2 linked regions of the Arabidopsis thaliana genome follow. The protein of the gene in region 1 interacts with the protein of each later gene in a pairwise test. Each region holds a gene or a part of one and is shown in the gene's direction. Other genes may lie near its edges. The genes, in order: CSLC5 and PDLP3.

Region 1 (5,828 bases):
TGGACTTTAGAGATTTCAAATAAATGAAGATAAATAAATGACTCATAATTCATACGAAAGGCTATAGCATTTATAGAGTTCATTTTCTTGGCGTGAAATTAGTAGTACATTCATTTATTCCATGATTTTGCTCAGAATATTCAAATTTATAAAAGAAATGGACATTACTTTGGAAGAGTTGAAAAACTTATAAAACAAAAAACATAACAATAGAAAACTTTAATCGATTAAATGAATTATTGAATGATTGTATCCACTAATTACAATTATTGAAATAAATATGTATAAAGTAGAGGGTGTAAAGCACTGTATGAAAAGATTATGATAACATAGTTCAAAGAATATCATTATGAGTCATAACTAATAATCATTCACCAATACACAATCGATCATCTTAATATATACATGATTAATTTGGATTCATTTTAAAGCACACTTAAAAATATATCATGTCCAATAATTTGTGAATTATTATTTCATCAGAATTGTCATAGTTATCTAACCATTTGTGTTTAGGGCAGAACTGTGTCTGAGGCTAAATTCATTAAAAAATGTCACTAAATTCTGCAGTTTTTGTTTTTTTCCATCTATGACGTTATATAATAGCTAGCCAGTAATTATTAAAACCGTATAGAATATATTCTTGAGTCTAACTTTAATCTACATGACAAATTTTTAATTACTCAGCACCGATTGGTTTCTGTAGATGCATGTCACAAGCAACACAAAATAAAAAAAGGTATTACAAAAAAATAGTACTAACCTACAAAATTACTTATTTATAATTCTTTTGATCTTTCTCCTTTTAGCTTTTCCTTTTCTCTTATTAGTGTTTATATGATACTTTCGTAAAACGTTAGGTATTGTATAGTAAATAAAACCTTAAAAATGCCAACGAATATCCTTATCTTCTAGTGTTCTACATGTGTTGATATCACCACCGACAAGTATCTCGGGTAACCTAATTGTTGGTTGGAACTTTCAGAATTTTTAAAACTGAAAAATTGACATTATCCTTCTAATGAATCACATTCTTCTTTTTTTTGTCAAATACTTCCCTTTGTCAAAGGCATGCACCACTAAATTATCTTTTGTTTTACAAAATGACCAAAATTAGCGGCAATATTTTACGTCAACACTTGACCAATTTTGATTGTTAGAGAGCACTTTGTCAATAAACCAAAGTATAATGTTTCCCTCCTTACTCTCCTAATGTATAATATATATTTTGATTATAGAACTCATAGTTAATATTGAGTTGCATCCCTTTGTTTTAACAGTAAGGCTTTGACTTACGTTTGTGATTATACCAATTACCAAGTATGATCAACACTCAAGATTTTTTTTTGACAAGAATATAATAATGAAAATGCTTATGCTTTGAGTAAATTAATCAGGAAAACTTTTAACTCATGTTAATATAGTATTTTTAACAAATATGAATGGACTACAAAGAGAATTTGACTAAATGTATAAAATATATAATTTGGAAAAAACATGGAACATGACATGGGGAGCACGTAGGAGAAGCGGTGATAGCAAAATAGAGTGATTCACTTGAAACCGATTTGGTAGTATCTTTTCTTATAAACATGTTCCAATGTAACTAGTACATAGTTGGTCACAAATACAAATTTGAATTTGTCTTCACCTCAAATTGCCAAACAACCCATATGGTCCCCATCCATCAATGGATTTTCCTCAATTTTCTTTCTTTTGAATATATAACAAATTTGTTTTTTTTAAGAAAATACAAATATTTGTAATGAAGATCCATGACATGACAAGTGCTTGTGAAAGATTACAAAGAGTGATAATAAAAAGGGGATGAATTTTGCATGCTGAAGCAATCAAATAAGTAGCTGAAAGAGTAACACACACATGAAAGTGCAAGTGACACATCTTTTACAACTTCTCTCACTGATGATACCTTTCTTCCTCTTCCTCTGCCTTTGCTTCTCTCTCTGAGTCACTACACTCTCTCACCAACCCATCCTTCTCTCTGTCATTCTCTAAAAAAAGAGGTCCACTATAAATGAGCCTTGAGCTGTGGATGCTTCTTTGTCTGGTTTTTTAGAATATAATAAAAAACAAAATGGGTCTCTAGATTTCAGATTTCTGGGATCTGGGTGTTAGATTAATCTCTTTCTCTTCCATTATTAGTAGAGAAAGCTCACTCCTTTCACTCAAAGTTTCTACCTTTTTGTTTTCCTGAAAATGGGTTGTGTTTGAAATCTCACACTTTGAGATTTGGGTGTTTATTTTGGGATCCTTCTTACCACATTTAGAAATTTCAGCTAGGGTTTTCGATTTCTCTACTTCTCAGAGGAGATTTTAGAGGCAAAAGATGGCTCCAAGGTTGGATTTTTCAGATTGGTGGGCGAAAGACACGAGGAAAGGAACACCAGTTGTGGTGAAAATGGAGAATCCTAATTACTCTGTAGTTGAAATCGACGGTCCAGATTCGGCTTTTAGACCAGTGGAGAAGAGCAGAGGCAAGAACGCTAAGCAAGTCACTTGGGTTTTGCTTCTCAAAGCTCATAGAGCTGTTGGATGTCTCACTTGGCTCGCCACTGTCTTTTGGTCTCTCCTTGGTGCCATCAAGAAACGGCTTAGTTTCACTCACCCACTTGGCTCTGAGAAATTAGGCAGAGACAGATGGCTTTTCACTGCCATTAAGCTCTTCTTAGCTGTTTCCTTAGTGATTCTCGGCTTTGAGATTGTTGCTTATTTTAGAGGATGGCATTACTTTCAAAGCCCTAGTCTTCACATCCCCACTAGCACACTTGAGATCCAGAGCCTGTTTCATCTTGTGTATGTTGGTTGGTTAACCCTTAGAGCTGATTATATTGCTCCTCCCATCAAAGCTCTCTCCAAGTTTTGTATTGTGCTGTTCCTTATACAGTCAGTAGATCGTTTGGTACTTTGCTTGGGTTGTTTTTGGATCAAGTATAAGAAAATTAAGCCGAGATTTGATGAGGAACCTTTCCGTAATGATGATGCTGAGGGATCTGGATCTGAGTATCCAATGGTTCTTGTTCAGATTCCAATGTGCAATGAGAGAGAGGTATGCTCATTCAACTTTGGTATATCCAAGAAAGTATTCATCTTTCTCCTGCTTTATATAACCTTTTTGGTATCAGTGTAATGAGCTTTAGTCTTCTTCTTGTTCAGGTGTATGAACAATCTATATCTGCCGTGTGTCAACTTGACTGGCCGAAAGATCGAATACTGGTTCAGGTTCTCGATGATTCGAATGATGAAAGCATCCAACAGTTAATTAAAGCTGAGGTTGCCAAATGGAGCCAAAAGGGAGTCAACATAATCTACAGGCATCGCTTGGTTAGAACTGGATATAAAGCTGGTAACCTCAAATCAGCAATGAGCTGTGATTACGTTGAAGCATACGAGTATGTCGCAATCTTTGATGCCGATTTCCAGCCTACTCCGGATTTCCTTAAACTAACAGTTCCACATTTCAAGGTTGGTATTAACATTGGTTTCAATTTTCTATCATTGAAAAGTGGAGAGAGAGATTGCTAACATGTTAAAAATGTGATTTAATCTTCAGGATAACCCAGAGTTAGGTCTAGTTCAAGCTAGATGGACATTTGTGAACAAAGACGAGAACTTGTTGACCCGTCTTCAGAACATCAATCTGTGTTTTCACTTTGAGGTGGAGCAGCAAGTGAACGGCGTGTTCTTGAACTTCTTTGGTTTCAATGGAACAGCTGGAGTATGGAGAATCAAAGCCCTTGAGGAATCTGGTGGTTGGCTTGAAAGGACTACTGTGGAGGATATGGACATAGCAGTCCGCGCTCATCTTCATGGATGGAAGTTCATATATCTTAATGACGTCAAGGTACTACTTTTTATCGATTGTTTCTAAAAAAAGCCTTATTTATGTAACAAAATGAATTAAACTGGATAGAAACAAATCTATAGGTCCTTTGCGAAGTTCCTGAGTCCTACGAGGCATATAAGAAGCAGCAACACCGTTGGCATTCGGGACCTATGCAGCTTTTCCGCTTGTGTCTTGGTTCAATCTTGACCTCTAAGGTAGTGTGCAGCTTTTTTCTTCTTTTAGTTCAAATGTTTGCTAATCATCATGTTAATGACTTCTTCTGGTTCTCATTGGTTACTCTTGCAGATAGCGATATGGAAGAAGGCGAATCTGATACTTCTCTTCTTTCTTCTTAGGAAACTCATACTTCCTTTCTACTCCTTCACTTTGTTCTGCATAATCCTTCCACTCACCATGTTTGTTCCAGAAGCTGAGCTCCCTGTTTGGGTCATCTGCTACATACCAGTTTTCATGTCTTTCCTCAACCTTCTTCCATCTCCAAAATCGTTTCCTTTCATCGTTCCTTATCTCTTATTCGAGAACACAATGTCTGTCACCAAGTTCAATGCGATGGTGTCCGGATTATTCCAATTGGGTAGCTCTTACGAGTGGATTGTCACAAAGAAAGCTGGAAGATCATCAGAGTCAGATCTTTTATCTATCACCGAGAAAGAGACACCAACCAAGAAAAGTCAATTGCTTAGGGGAGTTTCCGACAGCGAACTTTTGGAGCTGAGCCAACTTGAAGAACAGAAACAAGCGGTTTCAAAGAAACCTGTCAAGAAAACCAACAAGATATACCACAAAGAGCTCGCATTGGCCTTTCTTTTGCTCACTGCAGCGCTTAGGAGTCTCTTGGCAGCACAAGGAGTGCATTTCTACTTCCTGTTATTCCAAGGTGTTACCTTTCTTCTTGTGGGTCTCGATCTCATAGGCGAGCAGATGAGCTGAGAAGAACAAAAGAAGATTCATAACTCGGGTCAATAAATCAGTGAGTTTGAATTTCCACTTCCTCTATGTTCAGTGGTATCCTCTGTAATGAGATTGTTGGAACCATAGTGGTAGGCATTAATTGATTTTCCGTTTCGTTTGTTTGTTTGTTATGTTGGTTTGATTCCTCCATTGTTAGGGATAGAGTGTGAGCCAGAGATTCATACATGTATACAATATCTGTAAAGTTGGAACATGTTGTTGGCAGTTAAAAGAGCTTCTGTCTTGAACTAATTTCAAGGATCATGTCAAATCACTGCAGAGAATTTATGTAATTTAAAGTCCAACCTTTGTGGAAAGAGATTGTAACTGTAAATAACTAACAAGAACCAGTTTTCTGACTAAACTGAAACAAGAGAAAGACCAATATTTATTGTATTCTCTGAGGATCTTAGGACATTCTCAACTTAGTGTCGGTGAAAAGTGAAGAAACGTGGAGCAAAAAAAGTGTCGGCAGAGGAAGTGGAATGAGGAGAAGCATAATTGCAGAAAAAAAGCAGAGGTCAGAGAGGTTTACGTCACATAACAATCAATTCAATGATGTGTAAGTGAAGAATGGGACCAAACAGATTTTAATTTGGTGGGTTTGTTGATGATTCTGGGACCGAACTAGGATCATGATCTTGTCTCTCTTGCTTTTCTAGGCTTTTAATTGTTGTCATGCCAAAACAACGTCTCCATGTCTACTTCGCAAGTATACTTTTATTTTTTCACTTAATTTGGGATTTATAGTTGCTGAAACGAAACCATAGCTAGTTGTTACGTGAATAAGAGCAAATCAGATTATGTATTCAATCTTCCTCTTAGGCAATTACTTTGCTTCACCTTCATAAAAGTGAACAATTTCACAACTATGCTTAAGTGAAATGAACACAAGTACCAAATGGTAGCAACTGATACGCATTTACAAATTCTTGACTTGCCTATATAAACCGTGAAATGCACAAAAATCTATCCAAGGACAAGAATGTGCATACTAAACACTATCACATAG
Region 2 (5,166 bases), on another chromosome or scaffold:
AATTGACAGACAGCTGCAGAGGATGGTGTTAGGTTGTGGGATCTGCGCAAGTTAAGGAACTTCAAATCATTTTTATCTGCAGATGCGAACTCTGGTACACAACTATCGTATCTGTTTCTACTCATTTTGTTGATAGAGAACTTTCTATGTATTATAAGCTCGCTTTGATTAAACCTACTTTTTTTTTGTGTGCAGTGGAGTTTGATCCTAGCGGATCTTATCTCGGTATTGCTGCATCAGATATCAAGTGAGTACACATTTGAAAATAGTGATCAAAACATCCAAAGCTCAGCTAAAGAAAATATCCAAAGAGACCAAGCTAGCTTGATTAATCTGCACGTTGGGTTAACACAATTTATGTGTTTTGGCTGCAGAGTATACCAGACGGCAAGTGTGAAAGCTGAATGGAACCTTATCAAGACACTCCCAGATCTCTCCGGCACTGGTAAAGTCCCTTACCTAACTCCTTCAATGATCACATAGCGATAATGTTGCTAATTTCGAAGCCCTTACACTTGCAGGTAAAGCTACGTGTGTGAAGTTTGGTTCAGATGCACAGTACGTTGCAGTCGGTTCGATGGACCGTAACCTACGGATATTTGGTCTTCCTGGTGATGAAAAAGCCAACGTCGATGATGACTCTGCGCAAGACTCGTGAACAATCCGTAAAAAACTCAGACAGAACATTCCAAATGTCCATCTCCAGTGTTATCTCGCTCAAATTTCTCAAGTTCTGTTGTATCTTACAGTATTTGCAGCAATGGGGGAGAATTTCATAGGTGCGGGTCATGAGTGAGTGGTGATTGTGATCATCCTCGCTACCTCTTGGAATTCAAACAATGACACTCACAAACCCTCGAGTTTTCTTATAGGCTCTTTTAATCGCTTTGTACCTTCAATATATGTACCAAAAAATGTGTTCTTTCTGTTGCCAAATGAATTCAGACACTAATGAAGATCCCAAACCGATGGTGCTAAACCGCATTTGGTATTATTTAATCTGTTCTAGACAGTGGTGGTCTGCTTAGTATTCCGTATTCCAACAAATGATTTCAGCTGGTCTCTGAGAACAAAATTTTAACTAAATGTTAAAGAATACCCTTGACTGTACTTGGTCAAAAATCACTGGGCACAATATTTACATTTATCCACGAATATCAGATTCGTGATTCCTTTTGCAATTCCAGGATTAGTTTAACTTCACGCAAAAGATAATGTTTTGTAATACCCTTTCTTTATTGTGACCAGGATTGACAATTCGTGTTAAGGTATAACCACGTGTTTCCTCACAATTCTAAAGAATGCTTATGTTTCTCCCTGTCTATATTATTTTTTTAATTTTGTCTGAAAATACTAAAATAACTTGAACAAATCATCGTATAAAAACTACAAAATACATAAACTAAGCTTAAAGAAATACCTACACGATGAACTTTTTATATAGTAATTAGTAACAACTACAAAATACATAACCTTACTAGCTACTGGGAAAAAAATTGTCCAGTTTTAGATGATCAGAGTAAATATAATACTAATTGTCTTCCATTTTAATTATTGTCGAAAACGTGTTTTCATAAAGTAACTATTATTGGGTTTCATTACTAAATTCTAAACATCAAATGGAATTGAAACCAAAAGAGTAGTTATTCTAATTTTAAAAAGTTAGGTGTTGAATAAACAGTTTAAGTGAAATCTAATAATCAAAGACTGCAATACACACACCAAGCTCACTGTACTGTCTTTAGACTGGTCAGTGGTGGCTGAAGAAAGAAAAGAGTGTTTGATTGTTATATTAAAAAATAAAGAAAACAAATTACGCTCCCTTCTCTACAGACTCTCTCTATCCTAATCCTATTTCTTTTTCCACATCTCCTAAAGAAAGAGAAAAGAGTGGTCATCCATCCATCCACAGCCTCTTACAAAATCTCTCTCTTTCACCATTAACACCAAATTCAGAAAACTCAGAAGAAGCAAAATAAAGAGCTTTTACTGATCCACCAAACACAGAATTTCATAAACTCCCAAAAAAGTTAAATTCCAAACAAGCCCCACAACAACAACAACAACAAAAAAGATTTTAATCTTTCTCATTTACCCATATCCTCAAAATTCCCACAAAAATCTTTCCTCCAATAACATAACAAAACAACTCTTCTTCTACAACAAACTATGTTCTGATTTTTTAGTTTCTTCTTCCACACAATACAAAAGAAATGGGGTTTTATTCACTGAAGCAGCTTTTGTTACTTTACATCATCATCATGGCTCTGTTCTCAGATCTCAAGCTAGCAAAATCTTCTTCACCAGAGTACACGAACCTAATCTACAAAGGTTGTGCAAGACAGAGATTATCAGATCCATCTGGTTTATACTCACAAGCTCTCTCTGCAATGTATGGCTTATTGGTTACTCAATCAACGAAAACAAGATTCTACAAAACCACAACTGGAACAACAAGCCAAACAAGCGTCACTGGTCTTTTCCAGTGTAGAGGAGATTTAAGTAACAACGACTGTTACAACTGTGTTAGTCGTCTTCCTGTTCTCTCTGGTAAGCTCTGTGGCAAAACCATTGCTGCTAGAGTTCAGCTCTCCGGCTGTTATCTTCTCTATGAAATCTCTGGCTTTGCCCAAATTTCAGGTATTACTCTCCATTATTTGGTTTAATCTCAATTTCTTCGAAATTTTTTGTTTCTTGAACCGGAATTCGAGTTTCTGTGTGAACTTCAAGAACCCGGTTAAGAATCAGGTTTTGGTTTTAGATATAGGTTTAACCAAAGTTAGGATTCGACTAAACCAGAGAAACTTTTAACTATCGACCTAATTTCGGTTTTAACCATAAACCGAACCGAGATTGACTAATTTTAACTCCGGTTTAAAAATTTCTTTAGGAATGGAGTTGTTATTCAAGACATGTGGGAAGAACAACGTCGCCGGGACAGGATTCGAACAGAGAAGAGACACAGCTTTCGGGGTGATGCAAAACGGCGTCGTTCAAGGTCACGGCTTCTACGCAACGACATACGAATCGGTTTACGTTTTAGGACAATGCGAAGGCGATATAGGCGATTCAGATTGTAGCGGTTGCATAAAAAACGCGTTACAGAGAGCTCAAGTCGAATGTGGAAGCTCAATATCTGGTCAGATATATCTTCATAAGTGTTTTGTCGGTTATAGTTTCTACCCAAATGGTGTTCCCAAGAGATCTTCTCCTTATCCTAGCTCTGGCTCTTCGGGTTCTTCTTCTTCTTCATCTTCTTCAGGTGAAAATTTCTATTTCTTTTTATTTGTTTATTATTTTGGTGGAAAATTTCAATACCAACGTTCTAATATTTGCTGGAAAATCTTGAAAAGGTGTTCATTAAAAAGAAAATGATTCGATGTTGAAGTTAATAATTAATTTATTTGACTATCTTCACTTTAATTCAAAAGGTTTTCAGTGTGAAACTTGTTCTTTTGTTTTCAGGCTCCAATTGTGATTTTTGTTTCTTTTCATTTTGATGAATAAATATTGTTTTTTTCTTTTCAACATTATAGTTTGCTACGGTTTCGTAACAATTAATTCTTTAGAAAAGAGAGCGTAAAGTTTAGGAAATGTATTTTTAGGTATATTTTATTAGGATGATGAAATGGTTTTTGATGGAAAAAAACAGGAACAACAGGCAAAACGGTGGCAATAATAGTAGGAGGAACAGCTGGTGTTGGATTTCTTGTCATTTGCTTACTTTTCGTCAAAAACTTGATGAAGAAGAAATATGACGGTAATTACTTCCTCTCCACTTATATATACATACACGTAGACAACATTCATGCACGTATCACGTCTATAAGCATACATGCATATGTAACGTAATTCATACGAGTTGTCATTTTTGTATTGCCAAAATAATAGATTACTCAGTGTTTTTTATTAGAGATATTAATTATCCTTCTAATTTGAGCATATTGAAAATTAAGTGTGGAAGAGCTTGCATATAATAGACATACACATGCATATGTTGAGAAGAAGAATAAAGGCAAAAAAAATTGATTACTTATGTTTTTTTTTTGGCAGATTATTGAAAATAATTAGGATGAAGACAACAAAATGAGTCCCAACCCCGAAATGGAGGCAAGCGTTAATGTGAATTCCGAGGTGCATGCAATTAATTGTGTCCCGATTTTTATATTTTTCGAATTGTTAGTTTATTGAATACAGTATTTTTGAGAGGTGGAAATTGTGGTGGGATGGATGAAGAAGAGCTGGGACCATTTTAAAATGTTAGAAGATGGAGAAAGTACTTTCAATTTATTTTTAAAAATGTAAATGAATTATCTCATTTGAAGTTCCTTAAGTACTTATACTTGTCTTAATTTCATACCTTTTACAAGTTCCGTGAAGTCATTCTATTGGATGTTATGCTATAGTTTAACAATGGGTAACTCTTAAACAGAAATGAATTTATACTATGCTGTAGCATTTTACATTATTCTGTTCTGATAACGTTATACATTTTTGTTTTCGTATGTTTTAAATGATATTTTGTTTTTTCTAGACTGTTGAGTTGCTTTTTGAGTTTCTGTCGAGTTGTTTTTTTCTGCCAACTTGTTTTTGGTACTTTTTCTATCAAAATCTCGTTTGATAAGTAACTTTATTGGTATAACCTGGCAATTTTTATTTGTTTCTTGTAAAATGAGTAGGATTCCACCGCGTTTTGTATTATTGTGGGCAATTTGCATTATTTAAATGTTTTTTTTCGGCATTACTTAAATCTTATTTGTTCAGAAAATAATCGTGTGCATAATTTATATATTTGGAAATACGAAAGTCGAGTTATGTACTTCTCAATGTGTTGTTGTTTATGTATCTCGAGTGAAAGAAACTATGGTTAATTTTTTATACAACACTCATGCGATTTCATGGAGAAGTGTGATGCTTTTTATGATTTTGGGAATAGGGAACTTGATTGATACCTTTTGGGATCAAACATCAATACTCTCCGCACAAGTTTTGATGAATCTTGTAGTAATTGTTTTGGCATTTAATTGCATGATATGAGATGTGGTGCATAGGGTGGTCCATTTTTGTTACTTTTAAATTTTTAATAGAAGAACCAATATACAAGAATATTACGAATTTAGTATACAGCCATTCAGAGACCATTATCATTTATCAAAACGGAGAACA

What was found.
Region 2: the proteins of CSLC5 (region 1) and PDLP3 interact in a protein complementation assay, tested with the Arabidopsis thaliana proteins (one large-scale study listed by BioGRID).

The regions. Positions count from the first base shown.
Region 1 is NC_003075.7:15,308,856-15,314,683, reverse strand, and holds CSLC5 (Cellulose-synthase-like C5), read left to right. Parts: upstream 1-1,696; 5' UTR 1,697-2,347; coding exon 2,348-3,067; intron 3,068-3,174; coding exon 3,175-3,483; intron 3,484-3,571; coding exon 3,572-3,862; intron 3,863-3,945; coding exon 3,946-4,059; intron 4,060-4,150; coding exon 4,151-4,795; 3' UTR 4,796-5,178; downstream 5,179-5,828.
Region 2 is NC_003071.7:14,122,076-14,127,241, reverse strand, and holds PDLP3 (plasmodesmata-located protein 3), read left to right. Parts: upstream 1-1,715; 5' UTR 1,716-2,213; coding exon 2,214-2,640; intron 2,641-2,890; coding exon 2,891-3,262; intron 3,263-3,652; coding exon 3,653-3,760; intron 3,761-4,053; coding exon 4,054-4,061; 3' UTR 4,062-4,436; downstream 4,437-5,166. Other genes in the region: MAC3B (MOS4-associated complex 3B), read left to right, coding at 10-94, 196-247, 375-445, 522-658. UniProt on the Arabidopsis thaliana protein: Modulates cell-to-cell trafficking.